3 linked regions of the Lepisosteus oculatus genome follow. The protein of the gene in region 2 binds, or shares a complex with, the protein of the main gene of each other region. Links are inferred from orthologs where the notes say so. Each region holds a gene or a part of one and is shown on either strand. Other genes may lie near its edges.

Region 1 (10,661 bases), on a different chromosome or scaffold from region 2:
AGCATAGCTGGGTGGCTTGTTCCACTCTCCCACCACCCTTTGTGAAAAGATGTGCCTCCTTTTCTCAGTTTTAAATGGACTTCCCCCTTGGTGTCCACTTGTGATCTCTACTCAGTGTTTCACCTTCTGTTCAAGTCTAAAGACATTAATTCAGAATATTAGTGTAGGACACTCCCTTCAGACTAAAGAGACTCAGTTCCTCCTGCCTGTTAGTGCAGGACACCCCCTTCAGACTGATACATTTGTATCAGTGCAGAATATATTCAGTTGTTCTTTAATGGACTGATTCTAGTGCAGCAACATCTTTGATCTATGAAAAGGGGGAATAGACAGGCAGCTGTTTTTGGAAAGGATATCTTCTGGCACAAGGGCCAGCACTTTGTCGACAGACTCTTTGCTGCCCAGGATGTCTTGTTTGACCACAGCATAGTCCACAAAGTAGCGCGAGATCACATTCAGCGATTCCCTGCAGAAAAGACAGAGTCAGACACTCTCATTCTTTTTTAAAGCCAAGCGATTAACACAAGCAAGTTAACATTGTAACCCTCATGATCAGATGACTCTTGTTACACTTGTCTGCTGAGGGTGTCAACTGCTAATTGAATAAGTACTTTTTGAAGATGCAATGATCAAAACGAAGGAATTATTCGATGAAGAACCTGCCCTACCACACAAACAGGATGTGGAAAAAGCATAAGTCCAAGATTCACACACCAAAATGGCTCAGTCTTAAGAAAAGGGAGTTTTTCTTACATGACAAAGGGATGAATGAGATCAGGCAGTTGCACTTTTTTGATTGTGTCCTCACCACCCTGTCAGAAAGCAGAGAGAAGCACACCTTTACTCACAACAGAATATTGAAGGGAATATAGTTCATATATTGATAGAATTAACAAATTCAGCCTAAATATGTATATTCTTCCTGTATTTGCATAAGTTGTCTTCAAGGAAGACTAGGTTGTTGCTATAAGTGACGTTGGTGCACCAGTAGGGGGCGCACTTCCACACTGGCCCAGAAACTCCAAACCAAACACCCAGTAGAGAGACTAGGGACAGAGCTGAAGGAATTGTCCTTCAGGTGACATGTTAAACTGAGATCCTGGGTACTTGGTTACTAAAGACCCTAGTACACTGTTTACAAGAGTAGGGGTGTCAACCCCAGTATCCTGGCTCAATTCCAGTCTGAGCTGTACAGTCTGGTCTCCCCAACCCCCCCGCCAAGTCCACCTGAAGCAGCAGGCGCCCTTCAGTGCTGGATAAAGAGCCTCCTGCGATACGAAAAGTACTCTGAGATACTTTTCCATGAGAAGCTCCACATGAATGGAAGGAACTAGAATTATTTTAACTCCTCTAGTCAATGTAAGGAGTTTCTTATCCGCCATTTCTTCCGATTGACCTCTCGGTGTTTATCCTGAAGTGCGCTGAGGGTGGAAGTCCACTCCCCGGAAGATCTTGACGACTGAAGTCAAGGTCATCCTCCTGGTTCACCCCCCTCCGACCCCCGACCCCCGACCCCCCCGCCTTCTGCCCCGCCCACCTCACCTTCACAAGACTGAGGTACTCAGCCACTGCTGAGCGGGCCGTCGCCGAGAGCTTCCTGGCTGCCTCGTCGCACACCCAGCAGTGCACCCCTCGCCTGCCCGAGTACACCCACAAACAGTGCTTGAACCCAAAGTCCTCTGGGGAGAGAAACCAGGGCCCGTCTGGTTACACTTCGGAAGAGTGAATGGCAGACTCCTACAGTGGTGCTCAAGGGGTGGGATTTCTGTCCTTCTTACCTCCACAACAAAGACTACAGCAGTAGCCAAGGCAATGTGCCAATATATTGATAAACTACATCTTTCAATCACAATCCACGCTCAGAACATTTTGCAGATTTTGGGGGTCTATTTTTACAATGTCCCCACCCTGACCCATCCTTACTCTTAATTTGCTGGATTTAAATAACTAATTATTTCAATACCCCCGCCCCCCCCACCAACCAACCATTAACCTCTTCTCCAGCTCTTCGGCGGGTTTAGAACTATACAGGCCTATAAAACCCGGACCACCTGTCTTCTTCCGCCCTACCTCTCAGAGCTCTGTCCAGGATCTGAATCGCGATGGTCATCAGGGTCCAGCACTTGGAGCAGATGTCAGCAGCACTGCAGGAGAACAGGGAGAGGAAGCCTTTACTCTCGTTCAGGTGTGGAATTTACCGAAAGGCCCGCTCTCTGACCCCGGGGGGAGCAGACACGGACGCCAACGTCTGGTGGAAAGTGGTGAATACCTGGCGCCTGTCCCAAGCCAGCATGGGGTTTCGGGACAAAGGGATCAGGGATTTCCTGTCCCATCTGTCCTGAACTCAAGAAGGATTCAGAAACTGCCCAGTTTTTTTGTGTAACCTTTCTCTGGTTTTCTCAGTCCTGCTGACATTAGCGGAAGAGAGTCTCTCTGGTAGGTGTGCAGGTGTAACGGTGCTAACTGAGTTACAGAAATGACCCTCCGAAATCCAGACAGTGTACAGCTCTGCTGCGTCAGAGGACTGGTCTTGTTGTGCAGCAGAGTTAGGGACTGGAGCTGAGCTCTGAGCCCTGAGAGACTGGGAATAAATCCCAGCAGAGCCAGAGGACTGGTCTTGTTGTGTGGTAGAGTTAGGGACTGGAGCTGAGCTCTGAGCCCTGAGAGACTGGGAATAAATCCCAGCAGAGCCAGAGGACTGGTCTTGTTGTGCAGCAGAGTTAGGGACTGGAGCTGAGTTCTGAGCCCCGAGTGACTGGGAATAAATCCCAGCAGAGCCAGAGGACTGGTCCTGATTTGCAGCAGAGTTAGGGACCGGAGCGCAGAGTGATTCAAAAACTGCCCAGCTGACTGGGCAGAGTGACCTGGAAGCCAGTGGGGTTCGTCCCTCTCTCGCATCTGCACTGGAAATCGACAATTCCTACAACACGTCACACACCTCAGCCTGGAAGAGCTGACCTTTTGGGAGGGTTTATGGAGGTGTATATGCCCTGGGGAACAGAGACAGTGGAAGACTGCAGCTCCAACATGTCAGCAGGCCCCCACACCCAACCCCCCCCCCACCAGCTCCGCAGGGCTTCCCTCTCCAGGATACCTGCAGCACCTCCGGACATCGTCATAGTCCGTCATGTCAATGTCGAACACCAGCTCCTTCTCCAGCGCCTGGAAGGTCCCAGACTTCACCGTGTTGTGCTGGTTCGGCTGCAGAGAGAAAGTGGGACAAGAGCAAACTCACTGACAAGACTGACTCAAACGGACCGACTGCCCCCTCAGGCGGCTGGTCTGCAGGGCTACTGGAAATCTGGGCAACATCACCAGCTCAGACCTGGGCTGGAAGACTGATGATCTTGCTGAAAATGAGGTTGCTGTAAGTCTACCAGCCACAGGGAGCCGGGTGAGGCAGTCAGAACCCCAGGATCCCATGAAACAGACAGACCAACCCTGTGGCTGAAGACGGCGCCAATGTCGATCTTGTAGGGGTTGATCTTCTGAATCTCCTTCTCCAGCTCGCCCTGGCTGCTGAAGGACTGGTAGCGCACGTAGATGTCATCCTTCAGGGTGAAGGAGAACTCCCGGTTCTGGAAGCAGCTCTTCACCACTGACGGAAGAAAGAGAGAGAGAGAGGCAGGAATTTTATCTATTTGCTTTTGCAAACTTTGCCTTAATATTCAAAACTTCGGCCACATGTTACATGCAAACCTTGCCCAGATAAAGCATGTGTCCAACTTGATCGCTCCATTGCCCTCACATGTGAAACGTGCTAGACATACTCCAGTGCACGTCTCACACATTTCCTCCTAAATCTATGAGCTAGTGAGCACACAGGTGTAATAAATGACATAGTTCAAGTAGGGAGCTGCCTCAGCATGCGTAGGCTGCCAAGGAACAAGTAAAGGTTTATTCTATGGTGAAAAGAGGAAAAAAAACACAATAAATGACATTCCATTACGTATATCGATTTTCGACTATGTGAGGCTTAAGTACTCAGAAAAAAAAAAGATTTCATGCGCTCTACTGCCTCCTGAACAGCATGCACTTCACCGAGACGGGGCAAATGGAAAACTGCGCATCATTTGCTGGCGTCGGTACCGACGTCTAAAAACTCAAAAGTTTAGTTATAGTTAAAACAACGCAGACAGACTTCGCACATTTCCTCCGAGGCTTTGAAACTCACCGCCTCCGTAGCTAAGCCAGCGGTAGTACTGCGAGAACGGGAACAGGCGCCTGTAGTACAGCGGTAACAAATCCGGGAGAGAGGCAGGGTCATATTCACTGGCCGAAGCTAATTTGAGCATTTCAGAAAAAAAACACAGGCGCGGGTTTGTGGCAAGGGGCTTTTAGAAAGCAAAACTGGATCGCTCTCTCGTTAAAAATATTACAACCCCACAACGCGCTTCTCCGCTTTCGGTGACAGCTGCACACTTACAAAACAGCGCGGGAAAGAATCGAGGAGGACGTCCCAACAACACAACCAATCTCCGTGGGTTGGTGGGATATGTAGTTTTTTAAGCAAGTGTCTCACATATTCATTGCTACGAGTAGATCATTTCTAAACTACAATTCCCACAATCCACAAGCGGCGCACGGTACCAATATGTCTTCCTGCCAGGACGCTGATATTTGATTGGCTACCACATTACAAATAACTGAATACGTCAGAAGGCACTGCCTAGAACAGATCAAACACCTGACATTAAGACTGGGGGGATCTATACTGATGGAAAAAATAAACGCAGCATTTTCTGGAATGAGTATACTATAGTTATATCTTTCACAAAAAGTGGTAAATTTGTTTTAAGCCCTCTGACCAGCAATACCAGCAGCCATATCACCCTGCAACTCACAACTGGCAGCCCACTGAAGCTCAGCAGGTGTGAGCCTGGTCAGTACCTGGATGGGAGACCTCCTGGGAAAACTAAGGTTTCTGCTGGAAGAGGTGTTAGTGGGGCCACCAGGGGGCGCTCACCCTGCGGTCTGTGTGGGTCCTAATGCCCAAGTATAGTGACAGGGACACCATACCGTAAACAGGCGCCGTCCTTCGGATGAGATGTAAAACCGAGGTCCTGACTCTCTGTGGTCATTAAAAATCCCAGGGTGTTTCTCGAAAAGAGTAGGGGTGTAACCCCGGCGTCCTGGCCAAATTTCCCATTGGCCCTTACCAATCATGGCCTCCTAATAATCCCCCTCTATGAATTGGCTTCATCACTCTGCTCTCCTCCCCACTGAGAGCTGATGTGTGGTGAGCGTTCTGGCGCACTATGGCTATCATCCAGGTGGGGCTGCACATTGGTGGTGGTGGAGGGGAGTCCCCATTACCTGTAAAGTGCTTTGAGTGGAGTGTCCAGAAAAGCGCTATATAAGTGTAAGCAATTATTATTATTAATACAGTTTGAACAGTGAGACCTTGCAACTTGCCAGTCGCACAAAAGCTCGTTAGGTGCACTTTTACCCACGAAGTCCAGGTGGAACGATGCCTGATCAGGTCACCTTTAAAAAGGTTAATTCAAAGGTTAGGTCACTACAAGAAAAAACCCACAGAGTCAGTCAGTTTTCTGTGCATTCCATATTGCCTCGAATGTCACCAGAAGCAAGGGAGAGGGCCATTGGCATGCTGCAGGCAGGCATGTCATGTGCCAGCATTGCCAGACACTATGGAGTAAACCGCTCCACTGTGTCCCAACTGCAGAGGAGGTTTCAGCAGACCGACAGGACAGATGACCGTCCAAGATCCAGTCGCCCTTGAGTGACCACGCCAGAGCAGGACCGACACATCAGACCGGTTCATCTGAGAGGTCGGTTCAGATCTGCCACCCGTACTGCTGCTGAAACTGCTGGCAGACACAATGCCCACATCAGTGACAGGACAGTGAGGCTCCGCACTGCTGGCCTTAGAGCAGGGCGACCTGTCACAGGCCCTCCGTTCACACCTCCTAGACATCACCCCCGACTGGCTTGGGCCAGACAGATGGACTCGTCAGCAGTGGCATCAGGTCCTCTTCACGGATGAGTCACTCTTCAGCCTGTTCCACGCAGACGGGAGGGCCAGAGTGTGGAGGTGGAGCTGTTGCATTTCTTTTTTCCATCAGTATACTTCATGCGTATCTGGTTTATAAGGTTGACAGAGCTTACTCTTATGAACAGCTCCCGAGAATCTGTAATGACTAACTAGTCAGGATCTCAAATGAATGTCTCATCCAAAGGGCAGCGTTTATTGCAGCAGTGTCCCGTATCACGATCCAAAGATCCACTACACTTAAAAGCATCTTTAATAAAGCTTTAATTTCACTTTACACAGAAAGTGGAAACACACTGGACCAGACACTGGATCAATGAGCACCGTTGGTGTCAGACACTGGACCAATGAGCACTGTTAGTGACTGAGACTGGACCAATGAGCACTGTTAGTGACTGAGACTGGACCAATGAGCACTGTTAGTGACTGACACTGGACCAATGAGCGCTGTTAGTGTCAGACACTGGACCAATGAGCACTGTTAGTGACTGACACTGGACCAGTCTGCACTGTTAGTGACTGACACTGGACCAGTGTGCACTGTTAGTGTCAGACACTAGACCAATGAGCACTGTTAGTAACTGACACTGGACCAGTGTGCACTGTTAGTGTCAGACACTGGACCAATGAGCACTGTTAGTGTCAGACACTGGACCAATGAGCACTGTTAGTAACTGACACTGGACCAGTGTGCACTGTTAGTGACTGAGACTGGACCAGTGTGCACTGTTAGTGTCAGACACTGGACCAATGAGCACTGTTAGTGACTGACACTGGACCAGTCTGCACTGTTAGTGACCGACACTAGACCAATGAGCACTGTTAGTGTCAGACACTAGACCAATGAGTAATGGATGAGCTTCAAACACGTGGGAAAAATATTCATTTCCATCACAACGCTTGACTGTGAAAAATAAAAAGTGAAATTAAGGAAATACTCCCCCGGAATATGAGTGCTATTGCCGCACGTGGAAATGATTCTCTCCCCCCAAACGGCCGAAGCTCGTTGAGAAATAGTGCACAGTCATCTCTTATAGCAGCAAGATGGGAGGAACAGAAACTCTTTTTTTTTATCCAGCGCACCGCAGACCTCGGGATGCGCTTGTCCCCCGCCGCAGGGAGTGCCCGGTGGAAAGCGGGTCAGGCTGTGCGGGGAGAGCGGGCGGAGGAGGTGCGCTCTCCCGCAGCCCTCCAGCCACAGGTCCGGCGCGCAGCGGCGCCGCACCGCTCCGTCAGCTCTGACCAATCCTGGAGAGCCCGGTGACGAACTTCCTGCCGACTGTGTACACAGATATATATTTATTTTTTGCTGTCATGGAGGGTGGACTTTAAAAAAAAAAAGATAAACAAATCGAACATGATCGCAGGAGTAAACAGAAGTCGAAGCCTCATCGCGGGGGCTGGAGAGCGACCTGCGGCGTCTTGTGGCTTCCCGTAGCCGAATCGCCGTCCGTGTTCACGCGTGGCGACTACTGATAGTGTATCTTTAGGTCGTTTTATGATGTTATGATTTCGCTCAAGGACAACCACATCGAATTCTCCAGGTGGGCTGGGGGGGGGGTCTGGTTTCAGAGCACCGCGGACAACTCCAGCTAGACACCGTGTCAGTGTTTACTTGCGGGACGATCTATAACCCGGGTCTTTAAGCCTGCAGGTCCAGTCGAGTCGGCTTCCGCGGGGATGCAAAGACGCAAGTCAGACCTGAAAACGCGACGCTAAAACCCGAGTCGGGGGTTCAGTTACATTTTGCGTGGAAAAGACAATACACAGCTCTCTTCCGGTGTCGGCGCTGCAGTCTCGTAGGTGAGCGATTCGGTACTTCTCTGCTGGGGCTGCTGGAGCTTGTGCTCGATAAGAATTGTTTCAGTAAAACCTGGTGGCTTCATGTACCGACTGGCTCCAACAGGCCTTTGTTGTTGTTTTTTTGCAGAAAACAAAAGTTTAAATGCGAAGGTGTTTTTGTGTGTGCTTGTTTTTGTTTGATGTACTGTATTGCCTATTTTATTTGCATTTTTATTGCAGGAGAGGGTGCCGCGCGATCCTTTTAATCCTGTTTGACAGTTCCTGCCTCGGGTCTGTCTTTGTTGTTGAGGGGCTTTAAAGTTTCTCAAAATTACAGCGTTCTAAATTGGCTAATGACCTTTGTTTTTTTTATTTTCTCTTGGCTAACAGGAAGAAAACCCCGATCAAAAGGATTATATATATGGGATCACAAGGTACGTTTTATTCATCCCAGTCTGTGGGATTCGTTTTTTCTTTATTATTGTAAGGGAGACTTAAAGGGGGAAACCACACACACACAACAAGAAGAAAAACACCGCCGTCGTCACCCGAGCTCGAACCGAATATAAAATTCTTTAAAAAAATAAAAGCAGTCGATGTCATGACGAAAATAATAATCCCCAAGCAAGGTGAGCTTTGTGTAGGACCATCCCTGTCTGCTTCTCCTTCCGCGCTGCGCCGAGTCCTTGGAGCGCCTGTTGGCACCGCTGCTCTCCGAAGCCCAACGAGGAGCATGTCATGTGACACACACACACATATATATATATGATTATATATCGGAAGAAACGACTCCTCTGTTAGCGGTATTTTTTCTGCCTCGCGGGCGCCTGGCGCGAAGTGACGGATCAGGCGCGTGCGGTTCGGCAGGAGCGGGTTCGGGGCGCCGGGTCGGAGCCGCGGCCGGACGGGCCGGACGGGCTGGCTGTGCGGGGCGGGGTTGGGGCTAAATTAGGGAAACTATCTCGACGGTCTCTGAGAGAGAGAGAGAAAAAAAGGTTATTTCTCCTTTTCATTCACAACGCCAGAGCCAGCGTTCTGGGTTCGGGTGTCCGGTCGAACAGGGACGCCGCGGTTATGTTTTAATCTGAAAATATTATTTTATTCCGTGGCGCAAACGCCCGACTACGGTCCTGTTGATTTAAAATGCAAAGTTTTTTTTTTCCGGCGTGATTAGCATCAACACAAATCTACTCCTCTTTTCCCCCACGACGTATTAAAAATTCAGTCTTTTTTAGAACGAATTGAGCGAAAGCAAGATGCTCCGCTGGGAATTTATCTGAAAACGGCACATTAATTTTTCGTTTCGTTGGTTGATTCTTTAGGGACATGAGTGATGTTCAAAAACCAACATTAATGACTGCTGTGACACAAAAAACAAACATTTTCTTGACCGGTTCGCGCACAAGAAATGATAAAAAAGCGAGAACATAACTTTCAATTTCATTCGGGTTACTTAATTGTGGGGAAACTGCAAACCCTTTAACTCCGTTTCCACTGTTAATCATACAGGATTTAGTTCTTAATCTATTCACGAATCAGTTTATGGATTTGTAGATATTGTTTTTCACCTGTTGTTAAGTAATATTAGTAATAAAATTAGCAACAGAATTTCAACGGCCCTATCGAATCGCACGTTGAAATGCTCAGAAATGAAACCTTTTTAATTCAGAATTCGGTGTTGCGAAAATCATGTGTTGAACACATTGTATTGCGTTTATTCGGGGCTTTTCAATCCTAGACAAGGTGACCGTGTAATTGGATTCATACTTTTATTAATTAGACTTTGATATTTCCTTCATTCTGTTTTAATCTTTGATCTGGTTAATAATGAATTATTAAAGTATAGTGTATGTATTGGCCATGCCAAAGGGCTTTAACACTCAACCAGTTGTTTTAAATTAACCAGCTAATCCCTGCACTGCCCAGCTAATCCCAGCACTGACCAGCTCTAGGTCACAACACTGACCAGCTAATCCCAGTGCTGACCATCTCTAGATCACAACACTGACCATCTAATCCCTGCGCTGACCAGTTCAAGATCACAACACTGACCAGCTAATCCCATCACTGACCAGCTCTAGGTCACAACACTGACCAGGTAATCCCAGCACTGACCAGCTCCCTAGGTCCCAACACTGACCAGCTCTCTATGGCTCAATGCTGTCTGGTTAATCCCAGCGCCGACCATCTCTCTATGGTTCAATGCTGTCTGGTTAATCCCAGCGCCGACCATCTCTCTATGGTTCAATGCTGTCTGGTTAATCCCAGCGCCGACCATCTCTCTATGGCTCAAGGCTGGCTGGTTAACCCCAGTGCAGGCCCAGCAGAGATCATCTGTGTGTCGCTGTCTGGAGAAGCCCGGTCCCAGGGGCTGAGTGACACGACCCATTCCCAGACCGGCGATGTGTGGGCTGTCGAGTCCAGCCTGTGCCGCAGGGGTCTCGTCTGGAGGGGCTGCTGGTGGAGGGGTCCTGAACCGCTCCGTTTTCCTTGGGCTCCAGCCCTGAAGACATGTGCGTGGCACTGGCCCTCGTAACCGCTTCCCTCTCTGGCTTCCCTGCAGTCTCCTTGGCCGCGATGAGCGTGAGAGCGGGGCGGGGCGGCGACGAGGTGCTGGTGTCTCAGGCCGTGTGGGACTACCTGTCGGCGGCGGGCCAGCCCTGGCTGGCGGAGTTTCAGAGCGGCCATGGGCTGAGCGCGGGCGTGGTGCGGCGCGCCGAGAGGGGGGGCTGCTGCACGGTCAAGCTGAGGAGCCCGGGCGGGGAGGGGCCGGGCTCGGGGCCCGCCCCGGTCTCCCCGGCGGCCCGCCGGGCCTTCATGGACCTGTGCCGCAGCGCCCGCAAGGAGATGAACCGGAAGGAGGGGG
Region 2 (9,783 bases):
CACACACACACACACACACACGGTCAGATAGTCCCGAGAGCCTTGAAACACACACACACACACACACACACTCGGTCAGACAGTCCTGAGAGCCATGACACACACACACACACGGTCAGACAGTCCTGAGAGCCCTGACACACACACACGGTCAGACAGTCCTGAGAGCCCTGACACACACACACACACACACAGTCAGACAGTCCTGAGAGCCCTGAAACACACACACACACACACACACACACACACACATAGTCCTGAGAGCCCTAAAACACACACACTCACAAAGTCCTGAAACACACACACACTCTGTCAGATAGTCCTGAGAGTCCTAAAACACACACACACACACACACACACACACTCGGTCAGATAGTCCTGAGAGTCCTGAAACACACACACACACTCGGTCAGATAGTTCTCAGAGCCCTGACATACACGTGTGTTCTGCAATACAGATGTGCTCCAGTGTGTCCAGCTTGTTCCAGACACCCTCTACTCTTCATGTAAAGATGGAGCGTGTCTGAACAGGCAGACTTCACCTCCAAATACACTGACGTCCTGCACCAGCTAGAAAAATGTTTTGAAAAGATGCTGTAGCCTGAAAAGAATGATACCAACACATAAACGGTCCCTTCTATGCCTTACGACAAATATGCGGTTCGGGATCCAGGTGTTGGCACCTGAATCAAAGGATCAATAACGACACCAATGACAATCTCGTGGGTGCTCCCTATGTTTGCCTGGACTCTCACCTTCGCTGGGGTGGAATAATAATCCATGAGGCTTTCATCTTCTTCTTCTGCCTGGATCCTGGCATCCAAAGTTAAAGAAAATGCAGATCTTGCCCTGCACAAACTCTCAGGAACGGGTCTTTGCACAAACACACTCCCCTCTCAACGTAAAGGGTAGCGGGTGTCTGGAACAGCGATGGAGCTTCGTCACCGGACCGGAAGATCAAAAAAGTGACAATCCGTTCATCTGTTCAAGACTCCCGCCACTCTTGGGGTAAAGTAGCCCCTCCCGCTTGGGGCGGACACCAAACTCAAAGGCACAGATCTTTTAAAAAATCGCGAGTCCAAATAAAATGCAGTGTTTTTCTCCACTCTGCCCTCTGATCGCTTGTCTGGGAGGAACACACCCAAGCAGTTTTCATTATCTGGGCGTTTTTCTGTCCGGGGCTGTGATAGCGTGTCTCAGTCCCTCTGCTCCCGACAGATTTTTGCCTGGACTCCAGTGGCAGAGGCAGAGTGATTTTCCGGGAGGATCCTGAAATTGTCGCCTTTCGATCGCTCAAGGGGAACCGTAGTCCCAGTTTTTCACACCGGTTACTTTCTCTCGTGACAAAATAAAATGAGTTCTAGAACATGTTGACAAATTCCGAATGCAGCACAAAACCGTGAATTTAGGGAAAGTACTGCAAGTCGCCACATTGGCGAGAGCTCATGAGAACTGCGACGTGAAGCGGCCCTTCCTGCTCACTAGTCCCCGTACTGACTAATGCACTGAGATGCGAAGCGGCCCTTCCTGCTCACTAGTCCCTGTACTGACTGATGTACCGAGATGTGAAGCGGCCCTTCCTGCTCACTAGTCCCTGTACTGACTGATGTACCGAGATGTGAAGCGGCCCTTCCTGCTCACTAGTCCCTGTACTGACTGATGTCCTGAGATGTGAAGCGGCCCTTCCTGCTCACTAGTCCCTGTACTGACTAATGTACTGAGATGTGAATCAGCCCTTCCTGCTCACTAGTCCCTGTACTGACTAATGCACTGAGATGTACGAGTGAATAAGTCCAGGTTGTGCAGCAGACATTTCACCACAGAAATGTTCCAGCGTGATCCGCAGGCAGAGTTCACCAGTGAGTAGTATTTGCCAGTGAAACCGTCTGGAAGAGGAGAGCAGTATTTCTACTGGATCAGAAGAGCTGGACTCACAAGCCTACTTGTTCACAGGGTCACAGGGCCGCTTCACCTCACCGGAAGTCCTGCTGCCTCGTTCTGAATCGCAGACCTGGAAACGTCCTCTCGTTTGTGATGTCAACTGGAGGTTTTACAAGCCACTGTGTCCAACTGACTTTCATTGTGGTTTGAGAGGCAATCATCAGCCCTGACTCCTTCTAACCCTGAAATCTAAAAACAGCGTTACAGCTGCCCTTTGAACACTGAGCGCCGGAAGACTGCGGCGCAGGCCAACTGCACTAGTTCTTCACTCTCCTGAGAGAAAAGGGACGAGCTCGCTGTCCTAGATGCCCCCGCATCTGACTGGTATAATAATAATAATTGCTTACACTTCTATAGCGCTTTTCTGGACACTCCACTCAAAGCGCTTTACAGGTCATGGGGATCCCCTCCACCCCCAGCAGTGTGTACCCCCACCTGGATGAGGCGCCAGTCCGCTCCCCACACCCCAGCTCTCAGTGGGGAGGAGAGCAGAGTGATGGAGCCAGTTCAGAGAGGGGGGTTATTAGGAGGCCATGATGGGTAAAGGCCAGGGGGGTAAATTTGGCCAGGACACCGGGGTAACACCCCTACTCTTCTCGAGAAACGCCCTGGGATTTTCCTGCCTAGAAAACTGGATGAGCTCTGGCTCAAATACGAACCACCTACTGAAATGATGAAGCATAGCCTGGTGGCCCTCAGCAAATTCTGACCAATCCCATTCAACTGCCCAACACCATCCAAACCTACTGATGACTCAGCAAACTCTGATAAATCCTGTTCAACTAGCCAACTCCATCCAAGACTGTTGATGACTCGGCAAATCCCCATAACCAATTCAGCTGGCCAAATGAAAGGATCATTTAACCCGGAGACCCCGGATCTCCCTAGAAAGGCTGCCGCCTGGCTGGAAGGATACATCTCCTGCAGCGAGTGCAAGTCCCTGGGCTTGTCCAGACGCAGGTCCTTCTTGGCCAGGCTGGGCCGCGACTTGGAGGTCCTCTTGTTCAGCACCTGGGAGGCAGGGAGAGAACGGACACACGTCACGCCCAGGAGCTGCCCTCTCCCCTCTCCTCAAGGGGTGTGGACTTCGCCGACAGCGCGCACAGGCGGGGGTCCGCTCACCTCATGCTCGAAGACTTCCAGGTTCTCCAAGCTGAGGGTCAGGCCGCTCTTGGTCGTGCTGAAGGCCACCCACTCCAGGACGATAGTGTCCGCCTGCAGGCGGTGACAGATGCATTGCTCCAGCACTGAGAGAGACAGAGAGAACAGGCAGATGAGCCACTACAGACGCCATACTGTCTCCCCACTGCATCATGGGAAATACACTGCTCCAGCACTGAGAGAGACAGAGAGAGAACAGACAGGTGAGCCACTACAGACGCCATACTGTCTCCCCACTGCATCATGGGAAATACACTGCTCCAGCACTGAGAGAGACAGAGAGAACAGGCAGATGAGCCACTACAGACGTCAAACTGTCTCCCCACTGCATCATGGGAAATACACTGCTCCAGCACTGAGAGAGACAGAGAGAGAACAGGCAGGTGAGCCACTACAGACGCCATACTGTCTCCCCACTGCATCATGGGAAATACACTGCTCCAGCACTGAGAGAGAACAGACAGGTGAGCCACTACAGACGCCATACTGTCTCCCCACTGCATCATGGGAAATACACTGCTCCAGCACTGAGAGAGTTGGAGAGAACAGACAGGTGAGCCACTACAGATGCCATACTGTCTCCCCACTGCATCATGGGAAATACACTGCTCCAGCACTGAGAGAGACAGAGAGAGAACAGACAGGTGAGCCACTACAGACGTCATTCTGTCTCCCAACTGCATCATGGGAAATACACTGCTCCAGCCCTGAGAGAGACTGAGAGAACAGACAGGTGAGCCACTACAGACACCATAATGTCTCCCCACTGCATCATGGGAAATACACTGCTCCAGCACTGAGAGAGACCGAGAGAACAGACAGGTGAGCCACTACAGACACCATACTGTCTCCCCACTGCATCATGGGAAATACACTGCTCCAGCACTGAGAGAGAACAGACAGGTGAGCCACTACAGACGCCATACTGTCTCCCCACTGCATCATGGGAAATACACTGCTCCAGCACTGAGAGAGACAGAGAGAGAACAGACAGGTGAGCCACTACAGACACCATACTGTCTCCCCACTGCATCATGGGAAATACACTGCTCCAGCACTGAGAGAGAACAGACAGGTGAGCCACTACAGACACCATACTGTCTCCCCACTGCATCATGGGAAATACACTGCTCCAGCACTGAGAGAGAACAGACAGGTGAGCCACTACAGACACCATACTGTCTCCCCACTGCATCATGGGAAATACACTGCTCCAGCACTGAGAGAGAACAGACAGGTGAGCCACTACAGACACCATACTGTCTCCCCACTGCATCATGGGAAATACACTGCTCCAGCACTGAGAGAGAACAGACAGGTGAGCCACTACAGACACCATACTGTCTCCCCACTGCATCATGGGAAATACACTGCTCCAACACCGAGAGAGAACAGATAGGTGAGCCACTACAGAAGCCATACTGTCTCCCCACTGCATCATGGGAAATACACTGCTCCAACACCGAGAGAGAACAGATAGGTGAGCCACTACAGAAGCCATACTGTCTCCCCACTGCATCATGGGAAATACACTGCTCCAGCACTGAGAGAGACAAGAGAACAGGCAGGTGAGCCACTACAGACGCCATACTGTCTCCCCACTGCATCATGGGAAATACACTGCTCCAGCACTGAGAGAGAACAGACAGGTGAGCCACTACAGACACCATACTGTCTCCCCACTGCATCATGGGAAATACACTGCTCCAACACCGAGAGAGAACAGATAGGTGAGCCACTACAGAAGCCATACTGTCTCCCCACTGCATCATGGGAAATACACTGCTCCAGCACTATATTTTTAACTGACTGAAGCCTAATGTATTGCTGGCAGTATTGCTTTCAGTCAGAAGTTTCCAGTTATGACATCGATGCTGTCGGACGGCGAAGAGAAAAGCTGTCCCTGTTTCAGGCACAGGCACTCGCTCAGAGGGCGCCTCAGTCCCATGGAGAAAAAAAAAACTTTCTGGACGGAGTCGCACACTCCTATGAAAAAAAGAGCCCAATACTGACATTTGTTTGAAAGAAAACGATGTTAAGTTTCAGCCCCATCGGAAGCAATACTAAAACATCATCCGTCATCAATTTAATTATAATAACGTATAACGGCCCGTTATTTCATACACAAAATGCAGCGGTCTGGGAAGACTCCTCTGCTTGAGCATTTTTAAAACTGGATGTAAAAAACATGAAAGCGGTGCGGACGTGATCTTTATTTTATGTGTTCCAACTTTTTCTATAATTTGAATTTATTTGGTCCTATGTGCCCCCCACCGGCGATGTTTTTGTCTTGAAATGTGACTTGCTTGTATTCTAATCGTTGTGATTGCTTATGCATCAATATTTTTTTTTAAAAAAACGACTCCCCCGCACCCCGAGCAACGAGAGGGGGGTTTAACTGCGGGTGAGAGGTCAAACACCCCCCCCCCCCCCAAAAATGCGCAGCGATCTAGCAAGATCACCCCATAACTGGACCCAGCAATGAAGACGAATCGCTCACGTCTGTCCAGCACCGCCGATCCCTCGCCGCAGTCGATATCGAAGGTCTTCAGCTCCGTGTCGATGCTCTCGGCCGTGACGGCTGCCATCTTCCGCCCGGCTGCAGGGCGCCCAGCTCGGCTGCGAGTATCCGGACCCTGACGGGGGCGATTCTCCGCGCCGTTTGCAGGGAGGCGACCGCTCACGACCTGCGCTGAGTCTGCGAATTACAGCCTGTTTCTGGAATCGTTTTTTTTTGCAATGCTCCTTCTTACAAACCCAGCTGCACCGTCCTCTCTCTTTTTTTTCTTGCCGCGAAAAGAGAATCTCCCGCCGGCGTCGTCACGCTTTACGACAACCTCCCCTAGCAACCAATCAGAACGCCGCGCTTCCGGCGTGGCCCAGACCATCGATATAAGACGCCTAGATAGGTAAAAGACTCGGTGGGCGAATCCAACGGCCATATTGCTTAGGTACGGTTTTTTTTTAAATGCTTTCTAACCATTAACAAAACATAATAACAATAATAATAATAATAATTGCTTACACTTATATAGGGCTTTTCTGGACACTCCCCACACACCAGCTCTCAGTGGGGAGGAGAGCAGAGTGATGGAGCCAGTTCAGAGAGGGGGGTTATTAGGAGGCCATGATGGGAAAAGGCCAGGGGGGAAATTTGGCCAGGATGCCAAATGGAGATTTAACTAAATAAAATATTGTATGCATACATTTTAAGAATAGTTCTTTACTAAACTATTCGTAAGATTAAGATTAAAGATTAAGATTCGTAAGACTCCCAGCAATACTTTCATGGTGTCTCCATCACCTCCACCCCTCAGACTTCACTCCTCTGACTCTGATCTCCTGTCTGTCCCCCCCCAAGCTCGTCTACACTCTGGGGGCGACAGGGTCTTCTCCTGCTGCGCCCCAGAGCTCTGGAGTTCTGTCCCCAAGGATATCACAGCCACCTTCTCTAAACTCCCTCAAATCCAGACTCCATTCTTTCTCCGTTATCAGAAGGACTTTATGTCATTGGCATCTGTGCCTGCTTCTTCTACTGCATTCTAAACCCTTGTTTTTAACTGAGCTGATTTCATAATCAGTTGTCTTCATGATCTTTTTCCCCATCTCAATTTCCCAGTGTATTTCCCATGATGCAGTGGGGAGACAGTATGGCGTCTGTAGTGGCTCACCTGTCTGTTCTCTCTCCATCTCTCAGTGCTGGAGCAGTGTATTTCCCATGATTCAGTGGGGTGACAGTATGACGTCTGTAGTGGCTCACCTGTCTGTTCTCTCTCTGTCTCTCTCAGTGCTGGAGCAGTGTATTTCCCATGATGCAGTGGGGAGACAGTATGACGTCTGTAGTGGCTCACCTGTCTGTCCTCTCTCTGTCTCTCAGTGCTGGAGCAGTGTATTTCCCATGATGCAGTGGGGAGACAGTATGGCGTCTGTAGTGGCTCACCTGTCTGTTCTCTCTCGGTGTTGGAGCAGTGTATTTCCCATGATGCAGTGGGGAGACAGTATGACGTCTGTAGTGGCTCACCTGTCTGTCCTCTCTTAGTGCTGGAGCAGTGTATTTCCCATGATGTGGTGGGGAGACAGTATGGCGTCTGTAGTGGCTCACCTGTCTGTTCTCTCTGTCTCTCTCAGTGTTGGAGCAGTGTATTTCCCATGATGCAGTGGGGAGACAGTATGACGTCTGTAGTGGCTCACCTGCCTGTTCTCTGTCTCTCTCAGTGCTGGAGCAGTGTATTTCATGATCTTACTCAAAAGTGCTTTAAGAACTATATATATAGTATTAATGATTAGTACTAATACTATTAATACTGACAATGCTAATTGTTAATTCAAATATTTAATTAATTAATAATACTAATTAATACAAATTTTGATACCAACACTGGACACAAATCTGGAACATCATTTCCCAGAGAACTAGGTAAAAAGGCACCCGATTTCTGAAGGTTAACGTGCCCGTTAGAGAGAGGCCAACACGCAGAAAGGTGTTTAAAGAAAACGCACTCCACACCGGTTTTCCCAGCCAAAGAAGTTTGGTTTATTTAAAAAATATAATCAAAAAGTACAGAAAAACGAGGATGTGCGCAGGGCTTGAAATTCTCCTACATTTTATTTACATCGTAGAAAATAAAAACAACCCCGAAACAAGACGAGACCTCACAGGTGCTCCGAGCTGGCGGCCCCCTCAACGCCCACACCGCAGCCCCCAGACTGGGAGGAGAAGAACTCTCTGTGGAATGGGAGGAGGGGGGGGGGAAATATCGGATCTCCGGCACACCAGCCTCAGGAATGCCACCTTATCCCCGAAGACAAGACACGAAACGCTCACAAGTACAATCGACTTGTTGGCCCGAGACCAGTGCCCCCCTCTCCCCCCCTTAGGGCGCGTAGAAGACTAGCACCCTGCACTAGATTACCGGAGGGCTCCCACGACTGGAGACTAACCCCCATGGGCACTCAAAAGAGCTTCCCCTGTGTGCTCACACAGCTTCGAAGCACTGCAAGACACCTACGGGACAAGTGAAGAGTGTCTTGGCAGAAAACCACATCTAGGCTTTAAGAACTACAACAGGCCATTCTAATAGTTAAATCAAAGGGTATGCCAATAAGCACTGCCTATAATTTAATAGGCCATTATAATAGGATCCCCCATTAAAGTGTACGCCAATAATTTAATAGGCCATTATAATAGGATTCTCAATTAAAGGGTATGCCAATGAGCGTTGCCTATAATTTAATAGGCCATTATTATAGGATCCCCCATTAAAGGGAATGCCAATGAGCACTGCCTATAATTTAATAGGCCATTATATTAGGATTCTCAATTAAAGGGTATGCCAATGAGCACTGCCTATAATTTAATAGGCCATTATAATAGGATCCCCAATTAAAGGGTATGCCAATGAGCACTGCCTATAATTTAATAGGCCATTATAATAGGATCCCCAATTAAAGTGTACGCCAATTATTTAGTAGGCCATTATAATAGGATCCCCAATTAAAGGGTATGCCAATGAGCTTTGTCTATAATCTAATTTCCCAATTCCTCTTGGCTGTTCTGTCGGAACTAGTTCCTTCAGTCCGACCTCCCTCGGAAGGCCTCGGAAACGCTTTCCCCAGCAGGCGCTAAAACGCCACCCCAAAAAAAACGGGCTCTCCGTGTCGGCGTCCTCCCAAAGTACGGCTCAAGAAATAGCTCATCCACGCCGCCGTGCCGCACCGTGATCCCTACCGGAAATCCGGGTCCCGGTTTTAACCCCTTCTGGGGAAAGCGATCTGCGGCCTTCCAAGGTTCTAGATTATATTTTATAGATTATAGGGAACGCTCGCTGGCAGACACTTTATTGGGGATCCTATGATAATGGCCTATTAAACTCTGCTCCATTACCTCGTACTGCCCATAATGGAGTAGGCCCTGAGACAACGCTGTTTTCTACGTGGGAAAAATTGAGACAAGATGATCGTGAAATAAATCCAAAGGGAGTTTTATTGACCTCATACGGCAGAAGATCGAGGCGGAAAAGAATCCGAAACCGAAGGTGGCTTTATTAGTGGATACAAAACAAACGCGCACAAAAACAAAAAACACAACCCATAGGGAAGCTCCAAATATGATTCGGCAGAAAATCAACTCACCCACCCACCCACCCCCCCCCCCGCCAAAAAACAAAACGCTTTCGATTCTGGAATCCCAAAATAACAAACAGAAGAACTCAAAATCTACAACAGTAAGATCCAGTAGCAAGCTGAAACATTCAGTGCTCCGCCGCCCTCTGTTTTGGAAAGGCGCCCGCAGGTCGCGCCAGCTATCTCTCTCGACAGCACCCGCTGGTGAGGATCTGCCTAAGTGGGTGCAAACACGCACCTCCCACCCCCTCCCAGAGTTTCAGAGCGGTTTGGAGGAAATTCGGAGACGCTACAGAAGCGGAGGAGGAGAGGGGACGGGGGACGGGGGGAAACGCCCCTCTTTACAGTGGCAGACACGAGAAACGCTATGTCTAACACAATCCCGCTAGCCAATAAAATGCAATAAGGGTACAGAAGACACTGCAAAGGCCACCTCTCCTCTCTCGCCTTCCGTTTCCCCTGCCCTCCCTGAAAAACAACTGAGAGCCAAGGTTGAGTAAAACCGGGAAACAAAATGCAGGCAAGAAGTACTGCTTGATCCACCCGACGGGTGTCACC
Region 3 (10,163 bases), on a different chromosome or scaffold from region 2:
TATAGAGAACAGTAGAGATATCCAGATTTCCTGTTTCTAGAATTATAAAATGCCAGAAGAGACAAATTATTTTGAAGCCTCCCTACATCTGAAGTAACACACTGACAATGCACTTTCAGCAGGCTTAGAGCTCCCCCTTCTGATGTTCATATAACCCTTCGAGAACAGTCAATTTTTGGCATAGAAAGCCTTGAAAACCTTAAGAGATGAAGATGGAGAATATCTCATGGCTGTATTTGGCTTTAAGACCAGATCTTGCTTCCTTTTTGCTCGATACTTCCAGGATTAATAATCACCACAAAGCACATGGCAGAAATAATCAATGGCTTCACAAAACTCAATAAGCAAGCAATATGCTGACATTTTGTCATCCGAATGATTTAAAATGCATTAAGAACATGAACAAGAACATTAAAGACATGCTTCCGGTTCTCAATTATGAGACCACAGGTCTACAGCCCGCTCACTCAGAAGCACAAGCTGGCCAGCAGAGAAGCTGAAGCTGCAATACCTCTATAGGGCCTGCATGATCACTAGTAACTCTTCTCTTCGCCCAGATGTGCTCTATGGATTTTAACGGGCTTTAAAAGGTCAATCCTTCCAACCACACCCTGTTAGAAGAGATGCTAGACCAGGTGACCCACCCACCCACCCGAGAGGGCAGCTCACGAGACTCTCCAAGACAAAGCAGCCCCTGAAGTCTAAGCGGATGAGGCTCCCATCAGAAGAAGAAAGAAACCAATAACTTACCTTTTCATACTTTAAATTGTTGTGCCGCAGAAAATCATTTTTGTATTTTGGGTGAAGGACGTTAAACCGATGTCGAAACAAGTCCATCTCCTGCTGTATAAACCAGCGCCTCAGGTCTTCCCTGGAAACGGAGGAATCATTTTTATCAGGACATATCCTACTAGGACACGACCGGTCCCTGAACACCTCTGCTCGTGCGTGGGTACACAGACAATTCGCTGCTGTGCAGGCTCACCAAGGGCACTGAGACACCATGTGAACCCAGGAGGAAACTGGCAGGACGGAACTGCAGACTTGAGCCCAAGAGATGCCAAGGAGCAGGTCAGCACATGGCCACTTGCGCTCGTTATTAGACATCCTCATCCTTCAGAATATTAATTCATCCATATATGACTGATTACATGAAGTGTAAATTCATTGTGGTTTCTGGTTGCTGGTTTCAAATTGTGTTGAACCAAAAGTGTTTAAAACAACTTTTTCTTATTGCCTACAGTATATACCACAATGCACGCATATGCCCTGAGCAAGGCCCTTTACCCCAGCAGCTCCAGGGGCGCCATTTAAACGGTCAACCCTGCGTTCTGACCCCAAGCTTCTCTCCCTGTCTGTGTATCCCATGGAGAGCAAGTTGGGCTCTGTGAAAAGACAAATTCTTAATGCAAGAAATGGTATATGGCCAATAAAGTAATCTTATCTTATCTTACTGGAAGAGCAGTTACAAACAGAAATGAGGCCATTAGGGCTATCCAGCTCATTTGGTTGCAAGCAGCCAATGGAGCTCTGGATCTTCGATACCTGTTCTTTAAAGAAGCTAAGCAATCACCTTCAACATAGGTCTGGGAAGCTTGCACCATACTCCCACAAACCTATGTGTAAGGAAGCACCTTCAGTAAGGTTCATAAAAGCTATTAACAAAAGCTTTAAAGGCTTGTGATTAGTGACATTCCTTTTTTACTTTAAAAAAAACCCTATACAAGTTGTATGAGCAGTTTTCCTTTCAACAGGAGGGCAGGTGTTTTCATGCACACTGAGCAGAGACACTTACGTCTGGCAGTATGCAAGGCGAAGAATGAAGTGAGAAATGTGGTCCTTTCTTCTCTTTTCATACTCTGAAGGCCCAGTTTGTGGCTTCTTCTCTTCCTGGATAAGTCAGAAAGCATTGGAATATTAATGTGGGCTTAAAAATAGCAAATCTTTCTCAAGGATTCGACAAACGTTTCAAAAAGATATATAGGTCACCACTGCACCTAGTTAAACCAGAAATAAGTACAGTAAGTGTTTGCTTCAAATTACTCTTTGACTCTCCCCATGAACTGTGGCATTAAAACATACATAAATGTTTATTTTGTGCTTGTTTTATGCTGCACAAAAGCTTTCCTTAATTTTTTTATTTAAACCACCGAAGTGCATAATATGGAAAGGCATTTGGCACATGGACATCAAGCACAAAACAGAGCACCCAGAGTGAAGAGACAGCACCATGCAGTTCCATTTTGAAGCACAAGGGGTCTCCAAATTCCAGTTTCCCAAAGATGTTTTAACTACTGTATTTCTGAAATAAATTTGAAGATTATCTCAATATTTTAATATATGTGCACTGAATTCCATAACCATGCAACCCCTATGCAAGTCCAGATAAGTTATTAAATGCGTAACAATTCCAGGCACACAGCACAGCTTACAATGAGACAGTTTTAAATAAACTTAGCTCATTTTTTCCAATTCAAAAGCTATGAATAATTAAATGCTTCGTAAAACTCCTTAAAATAAATTAGCCTGATCATTAATTTAAGTTGCAGGAAAAGACTATTCTGGCCAACATAAAACATCTGTTAATTTAACATGCAAATTAAAGACTTCAGACAGCTAATTATGCACTTCCTAATGAACCCCTCTGTCTTCTTCCCTGTGGCACCCAGGTGCAGCTGACTGAACCCACACTATCAGAAACCAAGAAGACCGCAGTGTCTTACTGTCCCAGGGGGTAACCACAAAATACTGCACTTCCAGTCGAACACTAACACTGCATGCTCATCTTTTAACTTGGCTTGAAGAAGATGAAACCTTGAGGAGTGCTTCTCCCATGCTGCTGAATAATTTGACTGGGACACAGCGCACCGCTGCATTAAAAAAAGGTCCTCTGAGCACAGTCTCACTCCCCTGCACCAGTGGTCCACAGGACTGCCGAAAAGTCCCACAGGAGAAAAACCAAAGTATTCAAAATTATTTAAATATTAAGGGGACACAGTGGTCAGCATTGCTGTCCAGTAGTGCCGGAGCCCTGGGTTCAATTCCAGATGTGAGGTGCTGTCTGTGTGGAGTTTGTATGTTCTCCTTGTGTACACATGGGGTTTCCTGTTTCCTCTGAGTTCTCACGTTTCTCACACAGTCCAAAGACATACTGGTAGATTAACTGGCTTTTGGGGAAATTGACCCTGGTGTGTGTGCATGTGCATGTGCTGGGAGAGGGGCACTGTGCCAAACTGAGGTGTATTGTGGGATGAAAAAGGTTGAGAAACACAAATTTTATGCTGGTTTTACATTTCATATAGGAGCTTCCTGTTCATAGTGTACATTTACAATGCCTCATTGTGCACTTCATATTTTACACTTCTTTCAACTGATTTTTCCCCGAGTAACCTCCACTGCCAGTATTCGAGGTGTATACAGTATTTAACCAAGTCAAAACAACATCTACAACAATCAGAATGCACCTACCATTTCAGACCTGTATGGAAAGTTCAGAGTTTTAATCTCACTGTCCAGCTTCTTAATATACAGATCAGATGTTTTCACATAGCTCACTCCAAGGTTTTCCACAGTCTTAAGAACTGGAAAAAGAATTTGAGGGAGGTGAGAAATTTAAAAAGCTAATTTTTGCAGTTTAAGTAACAAAAAGCACAGAGTCCTTCACATCTACAGTCTATAAAAGCACCACTTGGTAATGTAACCGTGAACCACAGCAACGGCTCACAGTGTGACAGGGAAACACTCCCTAGAGCTCGCAGGTTCAGCCTGGGACAGGAAAGCCCTTTGCCAGATCTTTGCCCATCTTTTCCAGACACCCTCAAAAACTACTTCAAAAGGAGTCGGTACAGTTAAAACCAATACAGCGTTTTCTATAAAGCAAGCTCAGTTGTAAATATGAAATAATTTTCATTTAATGTAACCAAAAATGTATTTTTTCGTCAGCACTTATTTCAGTTACTATATCAGCTCGGAGGCGGCAACCTTCTTCACCGCACTATATCTGGGGTTGTTCCCCAGATATACTTGTCCTCCGCATTCAGCACAGAAAGACACGCATTGGTCATTGCTACAACGCCGTCATCTTTTGACTTTATGACTTAAAACAAATGGACAACGTTGTGTTTTTACGTTTCAGCCTTTCAATGGCAAAGGTCTCAAACTCGGAGAGGGGGATGTTTTCAAGCGGCGGTTGACTGTAGAACTGAAGACAGTGTCCGTAGAGCTCTGCCTGGTAGTCTCCTGTCACCTTCTTGTGTTTTTTACGACTGAACTCCATGTTGATTTCTGAAGAAGAAAAAATGCGCATACACATTTACCATATACATATACCGTATACCCAGAGAGAGGATCGCGTTTAACACATTACTAACAATGCTGCCTTTTATACCCACTGCAGGGGATAAGTAAACAACATACTAGCTTCGTTTTCACCGTCAGGCTTCTGAAATAAAACTAACGTGAAGCAGTAGCTTCAGGGTAGCCCTGTACACGTAAGTCGATCCTCCTGAAAATCGGTGTATGTCACTGCAGTGTAGTGAAAGAGCTAAGGGTTATCCCTGCCCTGCAATCACGGGACTCGTTATTCTTGAAAATTAGTTGCGTGGCTACAATCGAAAGACTTCATAAATCGCGACAAGGCATGGTTCCGAAAAGAAAAAGCAACAGGAGTTTGCAAGACAATAAAGAGAACCCCCATGCAAACCGACTCCACACACAAGCAGAATGGATAATATCAAGGTGGTTTTGTCACTACGCAATTGTGATAAAATATTGCTACTCACAACCGCAATTATCCAAATCGTTTCTCCTCTCTCTTGCTCTTCCAACTACCGCCAACTAGCAGCTCCCCCAAAGCGCGCGTAAGTGACGCCATCATCTGAACAAGCCAATCACAGCGGTCGTGCCCAAGAACCCGCCTCCGGAAGTGTGACTGTGTCGCGCTAAAGAAACACGTGACTGAACTTTGACAAGTGTGTTTTGGAGTTGGAGTTGCTTTTTTTGGTGGCGTTAAAGACGTTGCTTTTTGTGACTGCTTTTTCAATTGAAGTGATCAAACTGGTATCAAGAAACTCTGAAATAGAAACAGATGTGAGGTTGTTACCGTTCTGGCTTGAAGAAGGCGCGCATTTCAGTGTCTAGACGTCGTAAACCGTCTTTATGTCTGCCTTAAACTTCAAGTTGGATTTGTTACTGTGAAAACTCTGTGATAAAATGGTGTTATCTGTTGATATGGTGTTTTAGATTTCCACTGCCCCGTGACTGGCGACGCTGGCAATGAGGGTATTTGAAGTAACATCACAAAAGAAGGGATTTTATTTCACAAGACACGAGGTGTCTTATTTTTGCACAGATACTCAAGATAGTGAGTGATAAATACGAAGCTTGTTTTAACAGCCTGAAGTTAGCATGTTTTTTTCGTACTGTAACAACCCATTCTTTAATAATTTTTATTGTGTCTTAGACGTACTAACAGTGTCTTACATTGTTGCGCCTTTAGCCTTACGGGAGAAAAAATCTCACTTTTCAATGTAGACATAAACACCGAATTTCCAGCTATACCGTGTGCATTTTGGAGGAGGGTACAGATTTCTACGGGGTACCGTGACTGGACATAGACTAGAAATTCGTCTTTTTCCCTTCTCCATTCCCCGGAGAGAGTGATGTACCGAACCAAGACAGTGCACAGAGCACGTATCGATTAATAAACGATGTCCTGATTTGTAAATTGTAAAAACAGCTGATAATGATGAAGGCTCGAACACATTATTTTTTAGCCTACCATCAATTAAAGCTGTTTCTCAGGTGGCTCTAGCTTATAACAGTACTTACAAATGTATTGCACTGTATTAGAAATTAGTAGTTCAGGTGGGTAGCTGCGTCAGCATGCGTAGGCTGCAAAGGAACAAGTAATAGGTTTATTCCATGCTGAAAAAAAGAAGAAAGAGAACACAACGTTTCGGCCGTGGAGCCTTCTTCAGGTGTCACCTGAAGGACACCTGAAGAAGGCTCCACGGCCGAAACCTTGTGTTCTCTTTCTTCTTTTTTTCAGCATGGAATAAACCTATTACGTATTAGAAATTAGTTTATTATGTAGTGGCACCAGCGGAAAGGAGGAGGATTAAAACGACCCCAGTGCGGGGCTCTGATTGGGTAAAGCACAGTCGCATGCGTAGTGACGTCCTGTTCGGCTGCCCAATCGGACACCGTATTGATTTTTACAACAGCCAATCAACAAGCAGATCCTTAGCGCTAAAGAGAACACGGAAGAATTACTTGTGACTCGGGTTGAAGATGGAGGGTAGCGTGTGTGGTTCATTCGTGACCTTACCTGAAAGATCTGTTGATCTCAAAAACAGCAGAGGACATTCTGCTTCCCTAGGGCTGTGGAAGTGAGGCGTATATCACCTCCACGTGAGTTTAAAGACACGTGATGGTATGCACACGATTCTTTTCTCTATTAAACGATTTGATTTCTGTAGCAAGCTACATTTGGTTAGGTTTCAATTCAGTTGTCTGAGTTCCCGAAGCTAACTCTACAAGGATTGATACCTTCCCCTATAATCCTTCGTCATTCATAAAAGAAACAGGATTATAAAGTCTCCCAGAATGTGTGATGACTTCCGCGACAAACGCAGTTAACTAACAGCATTTCTCCGGAATCTGAGAATGTGAATCCCATAGTCTTCCTCAATAAAAACGGAAATAAATTCCCCAAGTGCAAGGAACAGATTTAACAGGCCTACGCGTGGTTGTCTTGTACTTTTTCTTTATTATTTTCTTCAAACCTCCTCGCGGCGTAAGACTGTATTTTCTATGTAATGAGAAATACCATTTTTATAGTATGCTGTATACATGTAAGTAGGTTAGTGTTAAGATATTCCAGTAATTCAGACGTGGGCTTTTTTGCATTAATATCACAATGCACATGGATTGTAGTTTAAAAACTGCTGTACCAGCAATAATATCAACGGAATCTGAGTACCAAAACCTTTATTAAGTTGATGTTGCTTAATCACCACATGTGGTCTTACAATACAGTAAGCCTCTAGGAAACAATTAATGCTGATTTTTTTCTTTTTACTTGGCCATTTCCAATTATCCATTTCTAGGAGCTGAGATTGTCCATATCGAAACCTTAGCTAATCTTATACTGTTTATAACTAAAATTATACTGTGTTCATCCAAAGTTAATCATTCTGTTCATCCAGTGAAAATATTTACAACAATGTGATCAGGTTAGAAGATCAAGGTTTCTGTGAATATAGTTTCTTTCTTTTGTCCATATGTTCATAACCTTTGTTTAGAGATTACATCCAGCAGAGATGGCCATCCTGGCTGAGTATGCTACTCGCAAGGACCCAGCTGGAAAAGCCCTGAAAATTCTTCAAGCTGAGGCCAACACACAGTTCAGGCGGCTGCGGTCCATACTGTATCTGTTGGAATCAAACCTCAGATGATCAAACTTCCCTCTTAACTCTGGAGCCCACTGGTAAAGGCTCTTCAATGGGGCATTAAGAATCCGGAGTTAATCTCCGGTGATATCTTCCTGCCAAAGTTTAAAACCAAAACCTTGCTTGGACCGAGAACAATTCATTCATCAGAAAAGGAGACGGAGTCTCTCTTTAATTAGCACAGTCAGTGATGCTGGCTCTCCGTCTTTCGGATGAGATGTAAAACGGAGGTCCTGACTCTCTGTGGTCATTAAAAATCCCAAGGTGTTTCTCGAAAAGAGTAGGGGTGTAACCCCGGCGTCCTGCCCAAATTTCCTATGCCTCCTAATAATCCCCCTCTATGAATTGGCTACATTAATGGCTACCATAATCCCCCTCTATGAATTTGTTCTCATCACCCCCATCCCCTGGCTGTATCAGCTTAAGCTGGTACTTGTTTTTTGAACATTTAACTGCTATCCAAATATTAATGCATTTGAACATAGATTCCTAATTTATTACATGTTTATTATGGCCCTAATTTTAATGAGCAAAGCAACTTTATGTGCAGATAGTTTAAAATTTGATCACAGTTAACATTCCTTTGGGCATTTATGGAAATGTATCTGCTAGATTTGAATGCTGATTATCTAATGGCATTCAATAATTTTCTAATTAAGTTATTTACATTTCATATAATTCTTAATGTCACATTTGTGTGGCATCAGCAGCGTGTTCATTTTCTGTAAGAAAATAAACGGATGTTGGCACAGTCGCGCAGTAGTCAGCATTTGTGCCTTGCAGCGCTGGGCCCTGGGTTCAGTGTGAGACTTGGGGTGCTGTCTGTGTGGAGTTTGTACGTTCTCCCCATGTTTGTGTGAATTTCCTCCCACAGCCCAAAAACATACTGATAGGTTAATTGGCTTGGACCCTGGTACGAGTGCATGAGATTCTGTGTGTGTCTGTCTGCCAAGCGATGGATTGGTGTCCCATCCAGAGTGTATCCCACCTTGGACTTGCTGCTTGCTGGGATAGGCTCCAGCTCCCCTGTGACTCTGAATTGGATGAAGCGGTTAAAAATGAAAGGATGGATAAACTGTTCATTGCATGATACAGGTCGGGCTACCTCAGGAAGCAGATGGAGATCTTGCTGAACCCCCTTGTGCTGCAGATCAGCTCCTCCCGTAAAGAGTATTTTTTCACTTCTATGAAGTCTCCCAAGCAAGTGCCAGAGAGATTGAAGGCTGGATCTTCCACATGGATCTTCTGAGGTCCTTTTCCATAGTCGAAGAGGTGTCCATCAGGTCCCCACCTCTCTACCTGCCCGGGCTGCCTGTGAGAGGCTCAACAGTGTTACTGCAGTCTTGCTGAGCCCAAGGGGAGCAAGACTGGACAGTGACCATTTTGAGAAACGGCTGCTTCTGAAGCTGAACCCGAGGTTTTGGAATTAACAGTGCAGATATTGATACTTGCAGTTGAGTTTGAAAATAATAAAGATGCAAGTAATCTGAGTCATCTGTGTTTATTGCGATTTGCTCTAGATCAGATGAGTAGGATGCATCTAGTAGTTTAGCACAGTTAAGTGAATCTAAAACCAGTTTTAAATCAGAATTTCTCATTTTTAACACTTGATCCTAGAGTTGTTCTAGGATTCTAAGAACATTGTGACTGTAACTAGGTGTGTGAAAAATAGTGCATCGGATAAAAGTAACTGGTTTGTAATTCAGGTTAATAGCAGATTTTCAGGGGTAGAATTTTAAGGATGGTTACTTTTTTTTTTACTTCTGATACTTTGGTGCTGTTAAGCAATTATACTTTTTTCCAGTGGAATAAGGACACAGACACAAACTCCCAGACTCCCTGGCTGGGGAAAAGTGATATTCACTGTAACACGGGCTTTCCCCACTAGCGAGAGTTACCATAGCAACTGCCTCTAACACCAGTATTCCTGCTCAGTCTCTCTTTGGAGACAAAGAACCCTGCCATCTTGGCATACATATTCCCTGTGTAATGAACACGCCCCATATTTAAGCAATTACACAGCGAATAACACAGAAACAGCTTTGGCTGCATCACCCACAGCTGTTAGAAGTATTTTTGTCACTAATTTGTAATCGTCCCCTTGTAGATGGTACTCCAAGGAACAGTATAAAATATCACTTTAGGGCTGTATATGTGACAGAAGTTGTACTTTCAGGTATTTATACTGATGGCTTAAACAAATACAAGATTGAGGTCTAATGGAGTTAATTAAGATTTTTAAATTCGGATATCAAATGCACTGGAAATATGAATAAAAAACAGCGATATTAAAATGGAGTGAAATACCACAATTTGGCAAGAGGTGTGAAGTCAGTCTTTTTAGCATGTGAAATGCTGAAGATTTTAAAACAGAGATGGTTAAAAGAGGCAGAGAATATTTTGATGTTTGGTTCATTGGAGAAACTGCAAGTATAACCTGCAATAAGCTGGAGGTAACATTGTGTGCACAGATAGTGTAAACGCACAGGGGACTGCATCCTCTGTGCTTGCGATGCACCGCAGCCAAAAACCCACGTGATTTGGCATTCTGAGCAAAACTCGAGTCCCACTCTGCTTCTCCACCCAACATATGTAAACCCACCCAGAGACCATTAGTGGCATGAAGCCCAGCAAATCAATACTAGATTAAAAACTTGCTTTCATCACACACGATCATTAAGTGTCTGTGAGATCGCTTTTGAAGATTGGCTT

Evidence for each region.
Region 1: pola2 (region 2) and prim1 share a complex: the UniProt entries of both Homo sapiens proteins name them as parts of the alpha DNA polymerase complex. The link is inferred for Lepisosteus oculatus from reciprocal best matches to the Homo sapiens genes POLA2 and PRIM1.
Region 3: pola2 (region 2) and prim2 share a complex: the UniProt entries of both Homo sapiens proteins name them as parts of the alpha DNA polymerase complex. The link is inferred for Lepisosteus oculatus from reciprocal best matches to the Homo sapiens genes POLA2 and PRIM2.

The regions. Positions count from the first base shown.
Region 1 is NC_090696.1:20,929,354-20,940,014, forward strand, and holds the start of prim1 (DNA primase small subunit), read right to left. Parts: upstream 4,452-10,661; 5' UTR 4,296-4,451; coding exon 4,175-4,295; intron 3,599-4,174; coding exon 3,441-3,598; intron 3,202-3,440; coding exon 3,095-3,201; intron 2,145-3,094; coding exon 2,071-2,144; intron 1,680-2,070; coding exon 1,543-1,679; intron 813-1,542; coding exon 754-812; intron 467-753; coding exon 355-466; intron 1-354. Other genes in the region: probable E3 ubiquitin-protein ligase DTX3, read left to right, coding at 8,217-8,229, 10,359-10,661. UniProt on the Homo sapiens protein: Catalytic subunit of the DNA primase complex and component of the DNA polymerase alpha complex (also known as the alpha DNA polymerase-primase complex - primosome/replisome) which play an essential role in the initiation of DNA synthesis.
Region 2 is NC_090713.1:19,518,597-19,528,379, reverse strand, and holds the start of pola2 (DNA polymerase alpha subunit B), read right to left. Parts: upstream 5,929-9,783; 5' UTR 5,691-5,928; coding exon 5,603-5,690; intron 3,189-5,602; coding exon 3,064-3,188; intron 2,953-3,063; coding exon 2,858-2,952; intron 814-2,857; coding exon 756-813; intron 1-755. UniProt on the Homo sapiens protein: Accessory subunit of the DNA polymerase alpha complex (also known as the alpha DNA polymerase-primase complex) which plays an essential role in the initiation of DNA synthesis.
Region 3 is NC_090712.1:19,997,524-20,007,686, reverse strand, and holds the start of prim2 (DNA primase large subunit), read right to left. Parts: upstream 4,890-10,163; 5' UTR 4,782-4,889; intron 4,285-4,781; 5' UTR 4,277-4,284; coding exon 4,129-4,276; intron 3,582-4,128; coding exon 3,469-3,581; intron 1,891-3,468; coding exon 1,796-1,890; intron 872-1,795; coding exon 751-871; intron 1-750. UniProt on the Homo sapiens protein: Regulatory subunit of the DNA primase complex and component of the DNA polymerase alpha complex (also known as the alpha DNA polymerase-primase complex) which play an essential role in the initiation of DNA synthesis.